3 linked regions of the Macaca mulatta genome follow. The protein of the gene in region 3 interacts with the protein of the main gene of each other region in a pairwise test. Links are inferred from orthologs where the notes say so. Each region holds a gene or a part of one and is shown on either strand. Other genes may lie near its edges.

Region 1 (3,645 bases), on a different chromosome or scaffold from region 3:
CCACAACCTGCCCTACCCAGTGGTGAAGCTGCTCTAGCCTCTGCCCTCAGGGGCTGTGGGTTGGGTGGGGAAAACGGCCCCTTAAGCAGAGAAGACCCTGTCTTGCCCTTCCTCAAGATGTCCCAGGAGCTCAGAGGCCTGGTGTAGAGCCGGGGTGTAGAGGGCCCTCTGGGACAGTTCAGCTGCTGTTCCCCACACCAGGAGGAATTGCTTGGCTCAGGCTAAGGAAGCACACCCTAAGGGCGTGGCTCCAGCAGCCCCAGGACAGACACTGGGGGTAGGGGGCATCTCTGGGTGCTCCCATCTGAGGCAGCAGTGCTATCTTTGTTTGCGCTGCTGTTCCGTGGAGCCTGGGCTTTTCCAGGTATCGTAGGGAGCCACTTCTCCCCAGAGCAGCCCCTTCTTGCCAGCCAGCCAGCGTGACTGGAGTCCCCTCCACACCTACCCAGGGAATATGGAAACACAGACAACCTTTTATGGGGGGCTGAAAAGCTGATGTGGACCCCCAGCATGGAGATGACCAGAAGTGGGGTGGGGTGTGGCCCCTCCCTTCCGAGGGCAGGGTTCTTGGTGGGCCCTGCTTCTTGGGGTGTGGGGCTGCTTCCCTGGATGGGGAAGGGCTGGAACTGGGCCCCGGGGTCAGGAGGATGCGCAGAACAGCTGCTGAGGCAGCAGGCTGGCGAAACGCCTTGGCCAGACTTTATCCAGGCTGTGTGTAGCCTTGGATAAGTCAGCTCCTTCACCAACCCTCAGTTGGCCCATCTGTAAAATGAGATTCCTGACCCCTGCTGTGTGGGCTGTTGTGAGGAGTAAAGGTGAAGACAGTAAGCCCTGACACACAGTAGGTCCTCAGCAAACAGGTATTAGTGTTGAGAGACAGTATCCACGGAGGTTGTGTGCTCTGACTCCAGTTTGGGGCTCTTAGGCTCCAAGCCTCAGTTTCCTCGTCTGTGAAGTGGGATAATAGTAGCACTGTCCTCGGAAGATGGTTGTGAGGATTAAAAGGATGCTGCATGAAAGACGCATGGCATGCAGTGGGAGTGGCAGTGCCAGGAGCCAGACCAGAAGCCCATGGTGGGCACAGCTGGGCTCTCTGGCCCACCCATTGGAGCATCTCCTACTGGGGTCTGGAGACACCAGATCTGGGTCCTCACAGGACTTGGGGCAAGTTCCTCGACTGTCTGGCCCTCGGTTCTCCTCTCTGTGCGGTGGGGTAGGCATCTCTGGTTCTCGCGTTCCTGATGGCTCTGAGGAGGCAGCCAGCGTCACAGGGCTCAGGGCTGTGCAGGCATCAGTGTGTGGACGGACCTGCTGCTCCTGCGCTCCCACTTGCCTTCCTGAGCCACTCTCTGGGCCCGTGGATTCTGGCGCTGGAGGCCTGGATCCAGCTGGGGGTGCCTTTCCCTCACCCAGCCTGTGTTCTGCAGGATGAAAAAGGAGCATTCAACTTTGACCAGGAGACAGTGATCAACCCAGAGACGGGCGAGCAGGTGAGGGAGGCCTCAGTAGAGCCCCAGGGTGCTGGGAGGGTGGGCACAGGTGGGGTGGGGCAGTGGCCACCCTAAGCCTGACAGTGGAGCTCTTTTTCCAGATTCAGAGCTGGTATCGGAGCGGGGAGACCTGGGACAGCAAGTTCAGCACCATCGCCTCCAGCTACGAAGAGTGCCGGGCTGAGAGCGTGGGCCTCTACCTCTGTCTCCACCCGGAAGTGCTGGAGTAAGAGCAGCAAAGCCAAGGGGTGGGCTGTCCCGGTGCAGTGGCCAGCCCTGGGGGCATGGAGGGTGGGTGGTGGCGGCCGGTGGAATGGGGACAGGGTAGCCTCTGACCATCCTGCCACCTGCCTGCCCGTCTCACAGGATCTTTGGCTTTGAGGGGGCTGATGCGGAGGACGTGATCTACGTGAACTGGCTCAACATGGTTCGGGCTGGGCTGCTCGCTCTGGAGTTCTACACACCTGAGGCCTCCAACTGGCGACAGGTGGGGCCTGGGTGGGGCCCCCAGGAGGCGGAAGGGAGCCTACAAGGATGATCAGCCTGCCAAGAGCAGGGTGCAAGGATGGGACCGCTGTACCTTTAAGGCAGATGAACAGGGTTTAATGCCAGACTCCACTGTTTGGGGGGCAAGTCACATCACTCTCGTGAGCCCCAGAGTTCCTGTCTGTGAAGTGGGAGTAGGACTCTCCCCGGCCACCATTTCACGGTGAATCAGATGAGGTGATTTTGTTAGGACTCCTCGCAGTTGACGCCCTCTGTGCCACACACAATTCTAAGCGCCCTCCATGAATTCACTACGCCAGGAGGTAGGTGCTGTTGTTACCCTCATTTTGAGAAGAGAAATTGAGGCACAAGGAGATGATGCAACTTGCCACTAAGTGGCAGAGCCAGGATTCGCATCTATACAGTGCCTCCAGGGCCATTCAGTGCCACGGCTCCATTTTGTGTCCTTTGGACATGGGGTAAGTGATAGAAATTTTTTTTCTTTTTCTTTTTTTTTTTTTTTTTGAGACAGAGTCTCGCTCTGTCACCAGGTTGGAGTGCAGGGGCGTGATCTTGGCTCACTGCAACCTCCGCCTCCCGGGTTCAAGTGATTCCCCTCCCTCAGCCTCCTGAGTAGCTGGGACTACAGGCGCATACCACCACGCCTGGCTAATTTTTTGTATTTTTTAGTAGAGACAGGGTTTCACCGTGTTAGCCAGGATAGTCTCGATCCCTTGACCTCATGATCCACCCGCCTCAGCCTCCCAAAGTGCTGGGATTACAGGCATGAGCCACCGCGCCCTGCCAGCAATAGAAACTTTTTGACAAAATCAGATGGGTGTGGTTTGAGGAGGTATTGTGACATCATTCAGGGTCCAGAAATGTGGGTCTGAGTTGTGGCTCTTCCTTTACTAGCTGTGTGCCCCTAAAGAAGTCCCTCCACTTCTCTGGGCCTCTGTTTTATCATCTGCAAACTGGGGATAATGACGCTTACTTGGTTCCCCTTTTGAGCACAAACAAGGTTGTGGAGGAGAAAGTGTTTGGGGACCCTGGAGGGGGTAGCTGCTGTCCTCCTCGGGGGATCCGGAGGAGCAGGGATCACGGTGGGTGACATGGGGAGCATGGGCACCAGGTCCTACCTGGAAATGGCCTCCCTGTCTCCTAGTGCAGCCTGCTCTCTCTGTTAGCAGAGGAAGGAGGAAGCATTTGAGGGGAGGGGAATAAGCAGAAAAGGACCCACAGGGTGGGGGAGAATGACAATAACAGTTGCCAATAAATGAGCAACTGGGACCAAGGACCAAGCCTAGGACCAAGCACTTGATATGGGCTACAAATGCTGTCTTTCCCCACCCCGGCAGGCCCATATGCAGGCCCGGTTTGTGATCCTGAGAGTCTTGCTGGAGGCTGGCGAGGGACTCGTTACCATCACTCCCACCACAGGCTCTGATGGGCGCCCAGATGCCCGGGTCCGCCTCGACCGCAGCAAGATCCGGTCTGTGGGCAAGCCTGCTCTAGAGCGCTTCCTGCGGAGGCTTCAGGTAAGCAAAGCCCTCTCGCCTGGATGGGCCCCCGCCAACCTCTCCAGGGGCAGAGTGTTACCATGTGCCAGGCACGGAGAATAAGCTGTGAGCAGTTCTCACGCTGCAGTGAGGAAAGGTAGCCAGTAAAC
Region 2 (3,745 bases), on a different chromosome or scaffold from region 3:
AGGAACAGCTGATGGATTTTTTTTTTTTCCTTCTCCCTCCTAAGGTTTATTTTCTTTGGCTGGAGCTACAGGCCTTTCGTCTTGGGTCAGAGTGTCCCGCCTCCTCCACACTTACCAGGGGGGTTTCCAGAGAAACCTGAAATGGGAATCACAAAAGCAACAAGATGAGATTCCATACTTTTCACATCATGATCAGGGTAGGAAAACCTTCACAGTAGAAGGCAGAAAACACATTCAAAGTACACTTTCACTTTTTTTTTTTTTTTGAGACAGTCTCACTCTGTCGCCCAGGCTGGAGTGCAGTGGTGTGATCTCTGCTCACTGCAACCTCCACCTTCCGGGTTCAAGCGGTTCTCCTGCCTCAGCCTCCCAAGTATCTGGGATTACGGCGCCTGCCACCATGCCTAGCTAATTTTTGTGTTTTTAGAAGAGTTGGGGTTTCACCATGTTGGCCAGACTGGTCTTGAGCTCCTGACCTCAGGTGATCTGCCCACCTGGGCCCCGCGAAGTGCTGGGATTACAGGCGTGAGCCACAGTGCCTGGCCTAAAGGCCACTTTTATAGGAAGAAAGGACTACTTACACTCTCAGAAAAAAAACCCAAAATATAGCAACCGATCATAGAAGAACTATAAAAGGTACTGATCACAAAGGATCTCAGATACTTAATATTAAATGTGCAATATCCTAAAATGTAGCTTGGTTTGGATAAGCAGACAATAACTAGGTCATCCAAAATATCTTACACCTTTGTTTTATTTACCAGCCCTCCTCCCCCGCTACAGGTGCATTACCCAGCTTCTATTTTCATATGAGAAGCCCATTTCCTGTCTTAAAAGTAAAGCTGAATTTTCACCTCTCAGGAGAAAACCACCTATAACAGTTATCTTTTCCAGTTCAAAAAGGCAAGATTATTAAACAGTGAGAGTGTGGAAGGACAAAAGGACAATGTTCAGGTCACCACTTCACCCAGAAGAAGAACGCCTTTTGTTTTCTGAACTTTGAAATCTGATTTCCCTTTCCTATCCTCACATCTTAAAAAAAAAAAAAAAAAAAAAAAGGAAAAGGGCCGAGGCTTGTAATCCCAGCACTTTGGGAGGCCAAGGAGGGCGAATCACCCAAGGTCAGGAGTTCGAGACAAGCCTGAACAACATGGAGAAGCCCTATCTCTACTAAAAATACAAAAATTAGCCGGGCGTGGTGGCGCATGCCTGTAATCCCAGCTACTAGGGAGGCTGAGGCAAGAGAATCGCTTGAACCCAGGAGGCGAGGTTGTGGTGGGCCGAGATCGCGCCACTGCACTCCAGCCTGGGCAACAAGAGCGAAACTCCATCTCAAAAAAAAGAAAAAAGAAAGAAAAAAAGAAAAGGAAAGAAAAAAAGGAGGAGAAGGATGGTGGGGGGCCTACTACGCAAGACTATTCCGTCCAGGATTTGCATAGGCAGGTTTTATTTTCATTCATATGACCTTCTGAGCCAAAGCAGAAGGATATGGCCACGTTCTCTAGCCAGACCGCCCAGTGCCGAGGAGGTAAATCTGTTTCTGGTCTCCACTTTTGAGCTTCCATTAATCTCACAAACCAAGACATACCCCCTCTCCTCTCCGGCGTTGTGACCCATCTACCAACTTCATTCTACAGGGGGAGAGCGATCTATACGTACACAGCGTACGTGTACACACACACACTCACACTCCCTCTCTCTGGTCAGAGTAAACACAATTGCGACCCAGAATTCCTGCTTACGCTACCCTCCCGTTCTCACGCAATTTATTACTAAAACCTCCCAGGAGCCTAAGTTCGAGAAATCGGATAAAGTCCCTTAAAAATCGAGTTAGGGGCAGGGGCCCTGGCCTGAGGCTGGTCCCACCCTGCCCGGATACCCGAGTCCGGCTGAGACCAAGTCGCCATGCCCACTCTCGGCGCCGGAGCTTCTAGCCTCCTGGGGCGGCCAGCGAACAAGTGCTACTTCCCCGGCCTTGACCCACCCTTACAACAAACCCCACCCCGCCCTCCGTCCCGATGGCCCCACCCCACTCCCAAGTCCGGGCCTCACACCACGCCTTCTCGTGCCCTCAACCCTGCCCAGTCCATCCCATCCCGGAGCCAGCTTTCCTCTCGGCCCCGCGCGCGGCCCCTCCCTGTCAGGCCCAGGGCCGGGCTCTGGCGGGAACCCTGCTCGGCCCCCGCCTCCTGCGCCTCAGCACCATCCCGTCGCCCGTCGCCCCATAAGCCTCGGCCCCGCGGCGCTGCACCCCTCCCTTCTAGGAAAGGAATGTGCCCGATACCCGCTGCTTAGCTCGGCGTCCGCCGCTGCCGCCACAGCAGGCCCTAAGCCCGAGTCCCGGCCTCGCCGCCGCCACCGGCCGGCCTAGAGCTCCGAGCCTCCGCTTCCCTCCCCGCCCCCTCCTGCCACCGCACTCGGAAACCCGCCCGCCGCAGGCACCCTAGGAACAGTTTCTCCAATCAACGAGCCGAGACCGGGGCCGTCGACGGATGTCCCTCTGATTGGCAGCAGAGAGGGCCCAATGGCTGAGTGCACCTCCTCATCTCCGGACCCGATTTCCCAAGACTGACATAATTCCCGGCCCAATGGGTACCTAGGCCCGCCCCGCGGTGTGGACCGACCAATGAGTAGGGCGAAGGCCTTAGTGTCTAGCATTCTGGGCCCCTCGGCCGCGCGTTCGCGGCGGGAGATCTTAGCGGGCTGGGAGTTGGGTGAAGTATCCAAGCTGGGCGCTTCCAGCGCTTTCTGTGGCGGGGGATTGAGGGCTTAGGGCAGGGAATGGGAGGGTGTATCGCCGCGGGAGTGCGGAACACCTCCGCCTTGAGGGTTCCCACAGTGACTTGCAAAAGTCTAGTGAGACCCGAGAAGGCTGAGGCGGGACACGAAGCATGTGGTGCTTGTGGTTGCGACGCTCGTGCCGCCATCTTGGGTGCTGGCGGCGGAAACCGGTACCCCAACTTCCTCTCGGTGCGAACCTGGAGAAGCCTCCCCAGCTGTGAGGGACGGTTGCGCCTCGTGGCCCAGGCAAGGGTGCCTTCGCTGGAGCAGTCCCGGAGACGGTTGTCATGAGGGTGGTGGGACGTTGGCGGAACGTTGGTGGTATGAGAGCTGTGGGGTAATGGCGATTTTTGTCATGGTAGAAACACCCCAAAGAGCCCCCCTCACTTGGTCTCCCACGCTGCTTAGTCTTGCTTTTTTTAGGGATGTTTCTCAGTTTCTAATTTCTCCAGTCCCATCTGGTTATATTTCCAAAACATGTTTGTGACTCTCAAACGTTAGTTTACCCCCAGCATCACTTGGGGAGCTTGCTAAACTACGAATTCCGAGGTCCCACTGGAGAGTCTGATTTAGTGACCCTGGAGTGGCGGCCGGATAACCTGCCTGCTGGGATGATTTTAACGCAACTGATGCGAAGACCCCATTTAGGGAATCATTGGGTTGGAGTTTGCAGTGCGTTCCTCCCAGCTATAGGACAAAGAGGTGTAAACTCAAGTCTGTCTTCTTAGAAGAGCCCATTATTTATGGGTGAATCATTAGTCCCTGTACAACTAAGGACAACGCCAACTGATAACTCAGTAAATAATGAGTCCATTTTGTGCTTGCAGTTAGGAGGCTTAATTTGGGGTGGTTTACAGATTAAGTACTTTCACTGTATATAATAAACGTACACCAGCAATTCTTACAAAACTTCTGAGCTAGTTTACCAGTTTCAAAGACTAATTCAGAGAGCATGTTTTACCTA
Region 3 (3,745 bases):
AATGGAGTCTTTCTCTGTCGCCTAGGCTGGAGTGCAGTGGCACGATCTCAGCTCACTGCAACCTACACCTCCCAGGTTCAAATGATTATCTCACCTCAGCGTCCCGAGTAGCTGGGATTACAGGCACCTGCCATCACACCCAGCTAATTTTTGTATTTTTAATAGAGACAAGGTTTTACCATATTGGCCAGGCTGGTCTTAAACTCCTGACCTCAGGTGATCCACCCTCCTCGGCCTCCCAAAGTGCTGGGATTACAGACACGTGCCACTGCGCCTGATGACCCTGTCTCTTTAAAGGAAGAAAAAAAGGGAAAAAAGGGGTATCAGGCCTTTAAGTATTCCACGAAGGTCAGCTATAATGGCCATTGTCCCCATTTTTCTTATGCCCTTGCAGGTATGAGCCAGAGCGGGATGAGTGGCACTTGGTGGCCCCAATGCTGACACGAAGGATCGGGGTGGGCGTGGCCGTCCTCAATCGTCTGCTTTATGCCGTGGGGGGCTTTGACGGGACAAACCGCCTTAATTCAGCTGAGCGTTACTACCCAGAGAGGAACGAGTGGCGAATGATCACAGCAATGAACACCATCCGAAGCGGGGCAGGTGGGTGGGGACGGTAGTGAGGGGAGCATCCAGGAACACCCCCACCATCCTGGGGTGAAACTGAGCCAGGCCTGGGAGAGACCCCCTGTTGCAACCCTCACCCTGAGATAACCACAGAAGCACTGGATTCTGATAGAGTCCAAGCTTCTCTCTCTCCATGCTTCATTTCTGAGGGTGAGAAGGGAGAGGAGAGAGGAAAGGTCTCCCTCAAGGAGGTGATGGCTGGGGCTCCCAAAGCCAGTCCTCCAGAGTCACCTTCTCTGCACGGTGCCCTTTAGGCGTCTGTGTCCTGCACAACTGCATCTATGCTGCCGGGGGCTATGATGGTCAGGACCAGCTGAACAGCGTGGAGCGTTATGACGTGGAAACAGAGACGTGGACTTTCGTAGCCCCCATGAAGCACCGGCGAAGTGCCCTGGGGATCACTGTCCACCAGGGGAGAATCTACGTCCTTGGTGAGGCCCTGGGGGTGGGGAAGAGTCCCGACTAGCCCCATCTCTTGTGGACTGTGGCTGCTTTTGCTTTTTTGCTTTCCTTTTTTTTTTTTTTTTTTTCTTAGAAACAGGGTCTCGCTCTGTCGCCCAGGCTGAGTGCAGTGGTGTGATCACAGCTTGCTGGAGCCTCAACCTCCTGGGCTCCAGCCATCCTCCTGCCTCAGCTTCCCAAGTAGCAGGGACCACACGCACGCACCACCACACCCGGCTAATGTTTGTTTTTTTGAGATGGAGTCTCGCAATGTTGCCCAGGCTGGGGTGCAATGGCATGATCTCAGCTCACTGCAACCTCCGCCTCCTGGAGGTTCAAGCAATTCTCCTGTCTTAGCCTCCTGAGTAGCTGGGACTATAGGTGTGTGCCACCGCACCTGGCTAATTTTTTGTATTTTAGTAGAGATAGGGTTTCACCATGTTAGCCAGGCTGGTCTCGAACTCCTGACCTCGTGATCCACCCACTTCAGCCTTCCAAAGTGCTGGGATTATAGGCGTGAGCCACCGCGCTGGGGCTTTTTCTTTTTTTGAGACAGGAGTCTCGCTCTGTTGCCAGGCTGGAGTGCAATGGCGCGATCTCAGCTCACTGCAACCTCCGCCTCCTGGTTTCAAGCGATTCTCCCCCCTCAGCCTCCCATGTAGCTGATATTACAGGTGCCCACCACTATGCCCTGCTAATTTTTATATTTTAGTAGAGATGGGGTTTCACCATGCTGGTCAGGCTGGTCTTGAACTCCTGACCTCAGGTGATCTGCCCACATCAGCCTCCCAAAGTGCTGGGATTACAGGCGTGAGCCACCACACTCGGCTTAATGTTATTTATGTATTTATTTATTTTTGAAACGGAGTCTGGCTCTGTCGCTCAGGCTGGAGTGCAGTGGCACACTCTCGGCTCACTGCAAGCTCTACCTCCCAGGTTCATGCCATTCTCCTGGCTCAGCCTCCCGAGTAGCTGGGATTATAGGCACCTGCCACCACGCCCGGCTAATTTTTATTTTTTTTTGTATTTTTAGTAGAGATGGGGTTTCACCATGTTAGCCAGGATGGTCTCAATCTCCTGACCTTGTGATCCGCCCACCTCGGCCTCCCAAAGTGCTGGGATTACAGGCGTGAGCCACAGCACCCGGCTGTTTTTATTTATTTTTATTTTATTTTTTTGAGACAGAGTTTTGCTCGTGTTGCCCAGGCTGGAATGCAATGGCGTGATCTCGGCTCACTGCAACCTCTGCCTTCCAGGTTCCAGTGATTCTCCTGTCTCAGCCTCCCTAGTAGCTGGAACTACAGGCACGCACCACCACGCCTGGCTAAATTTTTATGTTTTTTTTTGGTAGAGATGGGATTTCACCATGTTGCCCAGGCTGGTCTCAAATTCCTGGACTCAAGTGATCCACCCACCTCAGTCTCCCAAAGTGCTAGATTTACAGGCTGAGCTACCGCGCCTGGCCTTTTTTTTTTTTTTTTTCTTCAGTAAGAGACTAGAGTTTGCTATGTTGCCCAGGCTGTCCTCGAACTCCTGGCCTCAAGCGATCCTCCCGCCTCAGCCCTGCAAAGTGCTAGGATTATAGGCGTGAGCCACTGCGCCCGGCCTGCTTTTGCATCTCACAGCTGCTTCTCCCTCTTTCTGTCCCCTGCTCTTGGATGTGGTGTGACAGGTGGTGACCGTCCCTTCTGTTCTTCCTGCAGGAGGCTATGATGGTCACACGTTCCTGGACAGTGTGGAGTGTTACGACCCAGATACAGACACCTGGAGCGAGGTGACCCGAATGACATCGGGCCGGAGCGGAGTGGGCGTGGCTGTCACCATGGAGCCCTGCCGGAAGCAGATCGACCAGCAGAACTGTACCTGTTGAGGCACTTTTGTTTCTTGGGCGAAAATACAGTCCAATGGGGAGTATCATTGTTTTTGTACAAAAACCAGGATTAAAAGAAAAAAGACAGCACTGCAAATAACCCATCTTCCGGGAAGGGAGGCCGCGATGCCTCAGTGTTAAAATGACATCTCAAAAAGAAGTCCAAAGCGGGAATCATGTGCCTCTCAGCGGAGCCCCAGGAGTGTCCAAGACAGCCTGGCTGGGAAAGGGGGTGTGGAAAGAGCAGGCTTCCAGGAGAGAGGCCCCCAAACCCTCTGGCCCTGGGTCCCACCCACCCAGCCAGCCACGCCGGCAGCCCTCACCTTGTGATTTGTTCTTGGATACCTGGGAGGGGGCCAATGGGGGCCTCAGGCGGAGGCCCCCTCTGGAAATGTGGTTCCCAGGGATGGGCCTGTACATAGAAGCCACCGGATGGCACTTCCCCACCGGATGGACAGTTATTTTGTTGATAAGTAACCCTGTAATTTTCCAAGGAAAATAAAGAACAGACTAACTAGTGTCTTTCACCCTGGCTCTGGGCTGGAGGTCTGAAACCCGGGGCCAGAAAGGGCTCTTCTCCTGAAACACACTCCTCTTTGACTTAGGGCTGGTATTTGAAACCGTTTTGTAATCTTTGCCCATCGCATTTTGATATGTAGGGCATCTTTCTCCCCATAGGCAAGCCACACAGCTGTCCTTCAGTTTCAGCTGCCTTGGAAGACAAGGAGCTAATTCCTAGTCACATCTCCCAGGGCTCCCCAAGCTCATTTTTTTTTTTTTCCTTTTATTTTGAGACAGAGTTTTGCTCTT

The links.
Region 1: the proteins of KEAP1 (region 3) and DPP3 interact in binary tests that used the Homo sapiens proteins (3 or more experiments, as listed by UniProt). The two-hybrid records come from large-scale screens. The link is inferred for Macaca mulatta from reciprocal best matches to the Homo sapiens genes KEAP1 and DPP3.
Region 2: the proteins of KEAP1 (region 3) and NFE2L1 interact in binary tests that used the Homo sapiens proteins (3 or more experiments, as listed by UniProt). The link is inferred for Macaca mulatta from reciprocal best matches to the Homo sapiens genes KEAP1 and NFE2L1.

Annotation. Positions count from the first base shown.
Region 1 is NC_133419.1:7,920,302-7,923,946, reverse strand, and holds part of DPP3 (dipeptidyl peptidase 3), read left to right. Parts: intron 1-1,427; coding exon 1,428-1,490; intron 1,491-1,591; coding exon 1,592-1,716; intron 1,717-1,856; coding exon 1,857-1,977; intron 1,978-3,334; coding exon 3,335-3,514; intron 3,515-3,645. UniProt on the Homo sapiens protein: Cleaves and degrades bioactive peptides, including angiotensin, Leu-enkephalin and Met-enkephalin. Also cleaves Arg-Arg-beta-naphthylamide (in vitro).
Region 2 is NC_133421.1:61,973,357-61,977,101, forward strand, and holds the start of NFE2L1 (endoplasmic reticulum membrane sensor NFE2L1), read right to left. Parts: upstream 2,397-3,745; 5' UTR 2,285-2,396; exon of another isoform or gene 1,316-2,284; intron 293-1,315; exon of another isoform or gene 137-292; 5' UTR 1-136.
Region 3 is NC_133424.1:11,213,497-11,217,241, reverse strand, and holds the end of KEAP1 (kelch-like ECH-associated protein 1), read left to right. Parts: intron 1-394; coding exon 395-600; intron 601-878; coding exon 879-1,055; intron 1,056-2,768; coding exon 2,769-2,935; 3' UTR 2,936-3,462; downstream 3,463-3,745. UniProt on the Homo sapiens protein: Substrate-specific adapter of a BCR (BTB-CUL3-RBX1) E3 ubiquitin ligase complex that regulates the response to oxidative stress by targeting NFE2L2/NRF2 for ubiquitination.